Linked DNA regions of Oryzias latipes. The protein of the gene in region 1 interacts with the protein of each later gene in a biochemical or structural test. Links are inferred from orthologs where the notes say so. Each region holds a gene or a part of one and is shown on either strand. Other genes may lie near its edges. The genes, in order: sirt1 and rps19bp1.

Region 1 (4,549 bases):
TCAATTAACCGAGTGATCATACAAAACTGACTATCAAATAATTGATCCTAAGGAGCTGATCTGATCCATAAACCATCAAGAGGACTGAAAGTTTGAGTCTTTCGTGCAGACAGACTGGAATAAATCTGATATGAGACGGAAACACCTCAGCCAGGACTTTCAGAATAAAATTAAAAATGTGGTTTTCATTTTTGCAACTGTAATCTGATTACTTTCGAGGATCTGATTACTCCCATTTCTCTGGGTTTTGAGGGCATGTAAACCAGTTTGGCAATCGGATTATCCTGTTAACATGATCACTTCAATAGTCTGACTGAATAAATCAGAGGATGATAATCAGATTTTCGGTGGTCACGTCATCGGCTTCAACCACCTGTGGTCCGGGATTCGGTTCTGACGCCACAGAGCACAGAGCGCGTGCAGCATCTCTTCGTGCGTCACGTGGTCTCTTTTCTCACGATGATCAACCTGCAGGTTGTTAATGGTCGACAAACATGTTTTCCTTTTCCTGCAGCTCGGGCAGGAATGACGTCATCAGAACTTACGGACGACAGCTCGTCGCACCCCAGCACTCCGTAAAAATCCTCCCGGTCCTCCGGTTTACTGCGCAGAAGGGAATCCATGGCTCTTCTTTTACCGGACCGGATCTCTGCGGTTCTGATCCAGGAAGGTCGATGGACCAACTCCCTCTTCCTGGGATGCCGCTGAGGTTCTTGGTTCTGGTTGGACTGGGATTCTGCTGATAAATCAGCTGAGTTTAAAAGAACCGAACAAGCTCTCACTTTCTCACCAACATGTGACGTGGGTTGCGTTCGAGGACCCTCCTTTGTCATGGGAGGAAACACTCCCGTTTTGGGTCATTCCAGTTAATACTAAACCTCAAAAAAATAAACTCAATGTGTAAGTATATATTGTAATTATAGCGTTTATATTTTGATATGTTTTCAGAATGCTGATAGAGAAGTTCTTGATTTAAATACATTTGATTCAGTTTCTGCCTTTTTATGCTGGAATTCTCCAAATCCGTCAACAGAGGAAGAAAACGCTTTAAACTAAAAAAATCTAATACTTTTTACAGCAATAAAAAATAACTTTACTGAGAATGTTTGCTTAAAAATTCAGTGTGCAACTGTTTTCGTGGTTGTGATTTAGTGTTTGATTTACCAAGTTCATAGTGAAAGTCTAATTTTAAATAAGCATAAAAACCTTTAACAAGCAGAAAACCTTAACACTCGGTTTACTTTTAATACGTTTAACGTAATATGCAATAATGGTAATAATAATGTTCATGCATGCAATTTTATATCAGAGCTTTTTTTTAAAGATGGCTTTTATTTTTATAACTAATTATTAGTTAGTGTGACGTCTGCTTTGAAAAATAACCATTGCTAGCAGATAACTTTCTGGTCACTTGTAAATTCTTTGTCTGATACTGAACTCAATCTTATTTATTAGACATATTTACTTCGATAGTTAATGCTGCTGATAATCTTTAAATGAGGTGTTTTCACCTTCGTTATTTATTTTTTCCTTATTATTATTTTTGCATATGTTTTAATGTCTTTCTTTTGTCCGACCGTTCATGAAGGCATCAGTCATTTGTTATGGTAGACGTCATCACGCGCGTTATGCAAATGAGCCAGCTGTCTGCTCGGCGGCTCCTGCGGGCTGAAGATGGCGGACGACGAGAGCAGCCACCGAGCGGCCTTCTCTGGAGCCTGCGTTGCGGACGAACCCGCCGCTAAGAGATCGAAAATCACTCCACCGGACGACCGCGTCTTCAGATCCATCGAGGCGGAGCCGTTTTCCTACGTCTCCCCGGCCACGGAGAGCCGGGAGGCGGCGGTGAATTGCGAGCAGCGGGCCGAGAGGGAGGCGAAGCCGGCGATGGCGGGGGAGCAGGCCGCAGCGGGCGGAGACAACAATGGGCTGGGACTGCTGGGATGCGAGCCGCCGAACCCAGCCGAGAGGCTGAGCTTCGGCTTTGGTTCTGCTGAGGGGAGAACGGGTGAGTACTTCTGGTTCCCTGACGAAGGGCTCCGTGTTTTCATCGCTCGGAACGGCTGGTTGTTAGCCCGACGTACCGAAGATGAAAGGAACCGGAAGCGGCAGGAAACAAACCGATGCTCGGCGAAGTTCTCGTTCCTGTTCGAGAACTTCGCCGACTTTGACCACGTGACTCGTGTTGACCTAAAAGTCCAAACTTTGGCGGAACTAAACCGTTTAACCCAACTGGAAAATAGAGGTTTAAAAATCCATCAATCGAGTTCAGTCAAAAACTGAACTCCGGGATTTAATTTAAGGTAATTTCCCGGATTTTCTTATGTAAAGATAATTAATTATGAAATAAAAGCTCCACATTTATCCAAACATTAGAAATGATGAATTTCTAATTAAAGTTATTAATCTCAATAGAATAGATTTAGGTGTCATTAATGAATCTTAAGATCCATCAGTTATTGGTTTATTTATAACATGGAAATAGAAAACAGAAATCAGGAATTTTCCTTTATATTAAAATTAAGAAATTAACCAGGAATCAATGAATTCCCTTTATATGATTGAAGTTCTATTAAGTTGAGGTGGCTCCAATCAGAGCAGCTCCTTCAGCTGCATTTTAGTCATCCTTTCCTGAAGCATGAATACGGTCCGCGTCGTGTGGCGGCAGAGGTCTCGGCGTTCGGCCTTTGACCTGCCGGTTTTGCCCTCTTCAGGCTTCCTCGGGGCTGACGATCTTCCCTCCAACGGTCTCGCCGTCACACCAGAACACCTTAACGACGACGATGACGGATCCTCTCATGCTAGTTCCAGCGACTGGACTCCGCAGCCCCAGATCGGTCAGAATGAGGCAGGAATGTATTTTCCGCGTCTCCCTGCAAAGCCGTTGTGAGCTCAGGTGTGTGCGTGTGCAGGTTCCTACAGTCTGATCCATCAGCACATCAGAGAGACGGACCCCAGGGCCATTCTGCGGGACCTGCTGCCCGAGACCATACTCCCACCCGATCTGGACGACATGACCCTGTGGCAGATCATCATCAACATCTCAGAACCTCCCAAAAGGAAGAAGAGAAAAGACGTGAACACTGTGGAGGACGTGGTCAGACTGCTTCATGAGAGCAAGAGGATCATGGTTCTGACCGGTGCAGGTGTAGGTGTTTCAGTCCCCAGAAGGGCTTTTTCTGCCTTCATGTTGGGTAAAGAAACGGTAAACACCGGTTTGCTTCGCAGGTTTCAGTTTCCTGTGGAATTCCCGACTTTCGCTCCAGAGATGGGATTTACGCTCGGCTTGCTGTCGACTTTCCCGACCTTCCCGATCCGCAGTCGATGTTCGACATCGAATACTTCCGACGAGACCCCAGACCGTTTTTCAAGTTTGCTAAGGTTGGAAGGTTTTTTTTGTCTCTTCCTTCTCTGGTCCGGCCCAAGTTTACTAAACTAAAGCCCCCAAAATGTTTGTGACATTTAAATGATTTAACTCACACTTCTGACTAAATTCAGATGAAAAACATATTTCACTATGTGTCTATGAAGCCTCTCATTCATCCAGGTAGATTCCATCATAGTAGTGGGTTTAGGGGCCGTCATCTGGACTTAAGAGATGGTTCGTTGTGAAGGTCCTTCACATTTCCAATTAAATATGATCTTTTGTGATCTCCTGTTTGACCCTGAAATGACCCAGAAGTGACCGGCATGCGCAGAAGAGTCCTCAACGGTGACCGACGTCACTGTTGTTTATGGAAGTAGCTAACGTTAGCAATGGATGTCAACAACAGTGTTGTCAACAGCAGAGCTATTTTTGCTTTATTACATTTATTTTCACAAAGGAGCCAGAATAATTACAATCTTCTCATTTTAAAAAGAAATTTAAAAAGGAGGAAAGTTTGTGGCCATGGCGTTTTTTGAAGCAGTGTTAGCCAAGTCTGTACAGAGAAACGTGTGGAGTGGTGGGATACTGATGTGAGGAGCCAGGATCGTCTGTACCCTCAGCCATTTAGCTGGAAATGTTTTCAAAAACTGCCCGGTTACGGTAAGAGCCCTGGAGTTTGGCCTGAATAGAGAAATATGAATCCAATCGGTGACCTCACTTCCCTAACACTGACTGGTCTCAGCAGCATCTTCGCCATGGTTGATGTTTATGATCTAGTTCCTGCCTACTTCAATGCAGAATGATGACGTTTGTAGCGTATCGATGACGTACGGGTCGGATTCATGTGGCCTGGCCGCTCAGACAGAGGTCGAAGAGATCGGATACGTATTCGATTCAGGACCACATACCAAACTGGCTTGGGTCGCATTCGAAAAAATCGGATCTGTGTCGTTCAGACTGTCATGAAAAGATCAGATACAGGTCGCATAGGGGCAAAAAATTGGAATTGGGTCGTTTCAGCCTGCAGGGTGAACGTAGCCTTTTAGGCCCGTACACACCGGGACGAATTTCGTGCGCGATATTTGCCGGCGTTTAACGCCTTGTGACTAAATAAAGGGCACCAATGTGAGTGTGCACACCGACGCGAAAAACGCCACGAGTAAAAGCGTCATTTTTTAAAAA
Region 2 (4,367 bases), on another chromosome or scaffold:
TGCAGAGACATAATTATAGTAGGACAAAATAACTCGGCAAAACATGGCAAAGCACAGTAAAATAGCTAAACAACTAAACACATTATGTCAAAAACCCACACTTAAACCCAAATCCGTCCAGACAGGCAAAGGGAATTATATCCCAGAATCCCTTGCGGTGCCTATCTAACTGCAGCACCAAAGTTACACCTACTTAATTGAATTAATTTGAATGAAAGCAAAATAACTGTCTAAAAACTACGTGTTATTTTTAAGGTGACCTAAAAAAATGATTTATCTTAACTGAAGCAAATAATTAAGTTAGATCAAAGTAAAAAAGTTTTTTTTTCCAACATCCATACATGGTCTTATCATCCTTTCATGTTGGAAAAAGTATTATCTGAGCTTCTTCATCCACTAAATCCTCTTCAAATGGACACGCCATGCTGCTTCACCTCTCTGTAAACAAACTAAGCTTCAACTAAACCTGCTCCGGACCAGGTTATGTTCAGAGCATGAGTTGCCATGGTAACTTGACCTACCCTGAAACATACCTCCATTTCTGGAACCGAAAACTGAGGTTATCAACTTCCTTAGCCTCAAACTTTTTTTTTATAACTTTATTGAACAAATGCAAGTATACAACATGAAGAACAATCAATGCAGTATACAACATACAATCAATATACAACACAAACAATGTTAAACAGCCAGGGGAGTCGATTCATTAAATATTTGCAGAGAGTTACAAATTTCAATAGTTCTGAGAGCTTTTTTGTTGGAGGAAAAGGATATTGATTTAATGTAAAAAGTTACATCTTTAATGAATTGTGGGAAGTAAGGTGTTTTATTAGTAAATTTACATTTATGTATGTAGAATTTTGCCAGAAGAATTAATAAATTAATTATTAAAAATACTATTTGTTTTTTGGGGGTCCTGAAAAAACAAAGTAATACATTTTCCCATTTCAAGGAGAAATCTTTGAAGACATGAATAATGATGAATCTACTGAACTCCTTCCAAAATCTCTGTGTGGACAAACAGTGCCAGAAAAGATGAGTTACTGTTTCTGGGTGATCTCCACAGAAACTACAATCAGTATTAATATCTTTTTTAAATTTTATCATATAATGTTTGGCAGGGTAAATTTTATGGAGAATTTTAAAGGACCTTAGCCTCAAACTTACCGTGGGAGCTAGCATAATCTGCTTCCTGGAATACCCCCCTGTACTACTCATTATTTTATTTTTTATTTATGAATTGTTTTAAAAATAAAACACTTCACTTCACTTGTTTTTCTTTTGTTTTATTTTTTAAAAAACTTCACATTAAATTTTTTAATTTTATTTTATTGTTAGTTTATTATTCTAGTAGTAGTTTGGTAGGCACTATATGCAACACTGTCTGGTTTTCGGAGGACTCATTCCGGCAGTGCACACAAAGACCGGATGTTGATCTACTCACGTGTTAGAGGCAGAATATTACATTTATATACTGCAGATTTGTTAAGAACGTGATTTTTTGTTGTTGTGCAATGTCAGTGTCGTTGGTCAGAAGAGGACTGGAGCTGCTGAGTGATGACATCAAAGGTCCGGTTTGACTTTTTGCTATAGAATTTTAGTTGAGCTAGCAAACCACATTAGCACAAGCACTCAGCTGCACTAATTAATTAAATTTGCTAAATGTAATACAGATTAAATGTATTAAAAAATCTATATTAGTAGGTAGAAAGTTGGCAAAATTATTTTCACTTTGTTTTATGCTAGTCCACCTTTTAGCATTCCTTCTTAACTTCATTTTGATTCAAATAATAAAGCAAAACAAATCATGTAATATTATTTGTCTTATATACAAAGTTCTGTAACTGAATACGTGTCAAGGTTTATTTGTATGATTTTTAAAACAAAAAACTGCAGTAGCTTTTTTATAATATATTTTCTCTTATAATAAACACTTGAAGTTTATTTTACTTGAGTATAGTAAAAATATTACCACCATGTAGTTGTAGACCAAGTAAACCAACGCAAGGTTAACAATATATAGATATATAAAAAGTCAACTTCAAGTATACCGCCTGACTTTTAGTATAAACTGAGTATATTTGTTGTGCACCTAACCCCTAGATGCCTTGATGCAATAAAAAGCACCTCTGCTCCAAACTTACCTTCATTTATAGTCTACATAAAGCAGAAAAAAAAACATGAATAAATAAAACAAGAAAAGAAACCACATCTTTTTTTCATACCTGGAAATAAATTCAGACATAAATAGACTACTTTTGCTAGGGTTCTAGTTCAAAAACAATAAATAAAAACCTGAATTAACAAATGTGTTTAATTTCATTAAATCCTAAGAAGTGAAGAAATGTATCTGTACTTTTTTTTAATCTTGTGTCAATATATTTACTGTATTATGTGAATAAAAATATATAATAAGTTGTGATGTACACTTTCCCCCTAAACGTCAAAGAGCTGCCAAAATACATCCTCATAGTAAATAATGTAAAAATCAAATTCATATTTAACTTTGAGTAACAACAGGGTATTTTTGACTCTAACCTTAAATGAGATTTTGTGTCATCTTTTTTGACATGCTGGAATGTTAAAGGAAATAAACATCTTTTAAAAATGACACCATCTGCAGAGAGAACATTTATTTAATAAACAAATAAGGTAGAATTCAAATATAATTGTAATATACTGTCACCCAGCAAGCACTGTGTCTAAAGGTGTGTATTTGTGCTGTTCTCGCTTGCATTTTAGCAGATGACAGCCAGATAAAGAAAAAGAAGAAGACCCCCAGCTCGGCCGCAGTGATGGAGCAGATCAGCAGCAATAGACAGGGAGTCAGCAGGCAGGTTAAAAGACTGCAGGGCCGCCTTGGTCCTGGGAAGAGCAAAGCTACAGTCAAGGACAAGAGGATCAAATCAGCTATTGGTCAGTTAATTTTTTGTGTCTAGGAGATCAAATTTAACTTTTCCACAATTTAATTTGACCAATTCCTTATCTGACATAAAATTATGCTTCATTTCAAACTTCTTTACATTAATCACAACTCTGCCTTTGTAATATCTGCTGATTTGAACTTACATCGCCCCAGTTCCCACACTGCATCCATCACTGACCACAATCTGGTTACTTAGTTTTTGTTTTGGAATTGCCTCCTTTTCCTCAAAAGGCCCCCCACAGTACCCTAACTAGTTCAGAATTAATCATTTTCACCATATCACCCTCATCCTACTTCAGCTTCATTGACTGCAAGTTGCTCAAAGAATGCTTAAAAGTCGTTTGTGGTCTTGTGGTCCTCCACTCTTTTTCAAATCCCCTCTTCATTTCAACCTCCTCCTGCTCCTTCACCTCCATTCGCTGTGCCCTCCGTCTGCCTCAGCAGCTTGAAGAAACTCCCAAATTTCCTTCCATCCAGAACATTGATTCATTTTCTACTTTTCAATCTAAGTTTAAAAATCCACTTGTTCTTCTTGTTTGCCTTGTTCCGTCTTTCTTTTGTTTGTATTTTATGATGTACTTGTTTTTGCTCTGTTGAGGGATTTTAAGCCACTTTTAAAATGATTAGCTTTTCCCAGACCGTTTTCAAAAGCAGATGCTGCATGTAATCACATTTTTATAAATAAACTGTAAAGAGCAACATTTATTTGACATTTAAAGTTAATAGTGTAAAATTAAGCATAAGGGCATTTTATGTTTCAGGGAATTTACTTTCCTTGAAAACAAGGAGTAAAACATTCAGTAACCTGCATTAATTAAACTTTTCAATATTCAGCTATTGGCTTAAAAATGAATTAATTGCAGAAAGAAACCGCTCAATAACTGAATATGGAGTTATTGACAGTGTGATGAGAAAATAATGTTGTTGTTTCAAATGTCTTCCTCTGTGATTGCATGCAGAAGAGTTCAGGAAGAAGCAGGGAAAGAGCAACCTGAGCGCCAATCTCAAGTACTTCATGGAAACTATCAGTAAACCCACAGATTCAGATACTTTGAAGGTAAGAAAAACAAATCTGTAACAGTGTCAGAGATGGACGCTTTAATTATTGCCATTTTTTGTTACTTTTGTCTTTAAAGACCCTCTGTCTTTAAAGACGGTGTCTTTAAAGTCACCGCAGGTCAGCCGGGGCTGACCTGCGGTGACGAGGCTCCGACTGGGTGGTGGGCGGCTCCTCGGCCCTCTGTGTCCTGGCTTTGCCCACGTCTCGGTGTCAAGCGCCCGGTGGCCCCAATAGCTGTCACCCGGTGGAGCACGCCTCTCCTGTGACCTGGGGGTCCTGACGCTGGGCTCGCCTATGCCTCCTGGTGCCGCCGGGGAGGATCTGGTTCCCCTAACGATCACATGGTTCACTTTGACAGCGTGCATGTATCTCCACCCCCAC

What was found.
Region 2: the proteins of sirt1 (region 1) and rps19bp1 form a complex in vitro, tested with the Homo sapiens proteins (2 studies listed by BioGRID and IntAct). The link is inferred for Oryzias latipes from reciprocal best matches to the Homo sapiens genes SIRT1 and RPS19BP1.

Annotation. Positions count from the first base shown.
Region 1 is NC_019873.2:29,790,553-29,795,101, forward strand, and holds the start of sirt1 (NAD-dependent protein deacetylase sirtuin-1), read left to right. Parts: upstream 1-1,639; 5' UTR 1,640-1,674; coding exon 1,675-2,008; intron 2,009-2,714; coding exon 2,715-2,837; intron 2,838-2,912; coding exon 2,913-3,148; intron 3,149-3,228; coding exon 3,229-3,381; intron 3,382-4,549. Other genes in the region: dnajc12 (dnaJ homolog subfamily C member 12), read right to left, coding at 546-833. UniProt on the Homo sapiens protein: NAD-dependent protein deacetylase that links transcriptional regulation directly to intracellular energetics and participates in the coordination of several separated cellular functions such as cell cycle, response to DNA damage, metabolism, apoptosis and autophagy.
Region 2 is NC_019859.2:24,671,643-24,676,009, reverse strand, and holds the start of rps19bp1 (active regulator of SIRT1), read left to right. Parts: upstream 1-1,399; 5' UTR 1,400-1,514; coding exon 1,515-1,569; intron 1,570-2,742; coding exon 2,743-2,916; intron 2,917-3,885; coding exon 3,886-3,983; intron 3,984-4,367. UniProt on the Homo sapiens protein: Part of the small subunit (SSU) processome, first precursor of the small eukaryotic ribosomal subunit.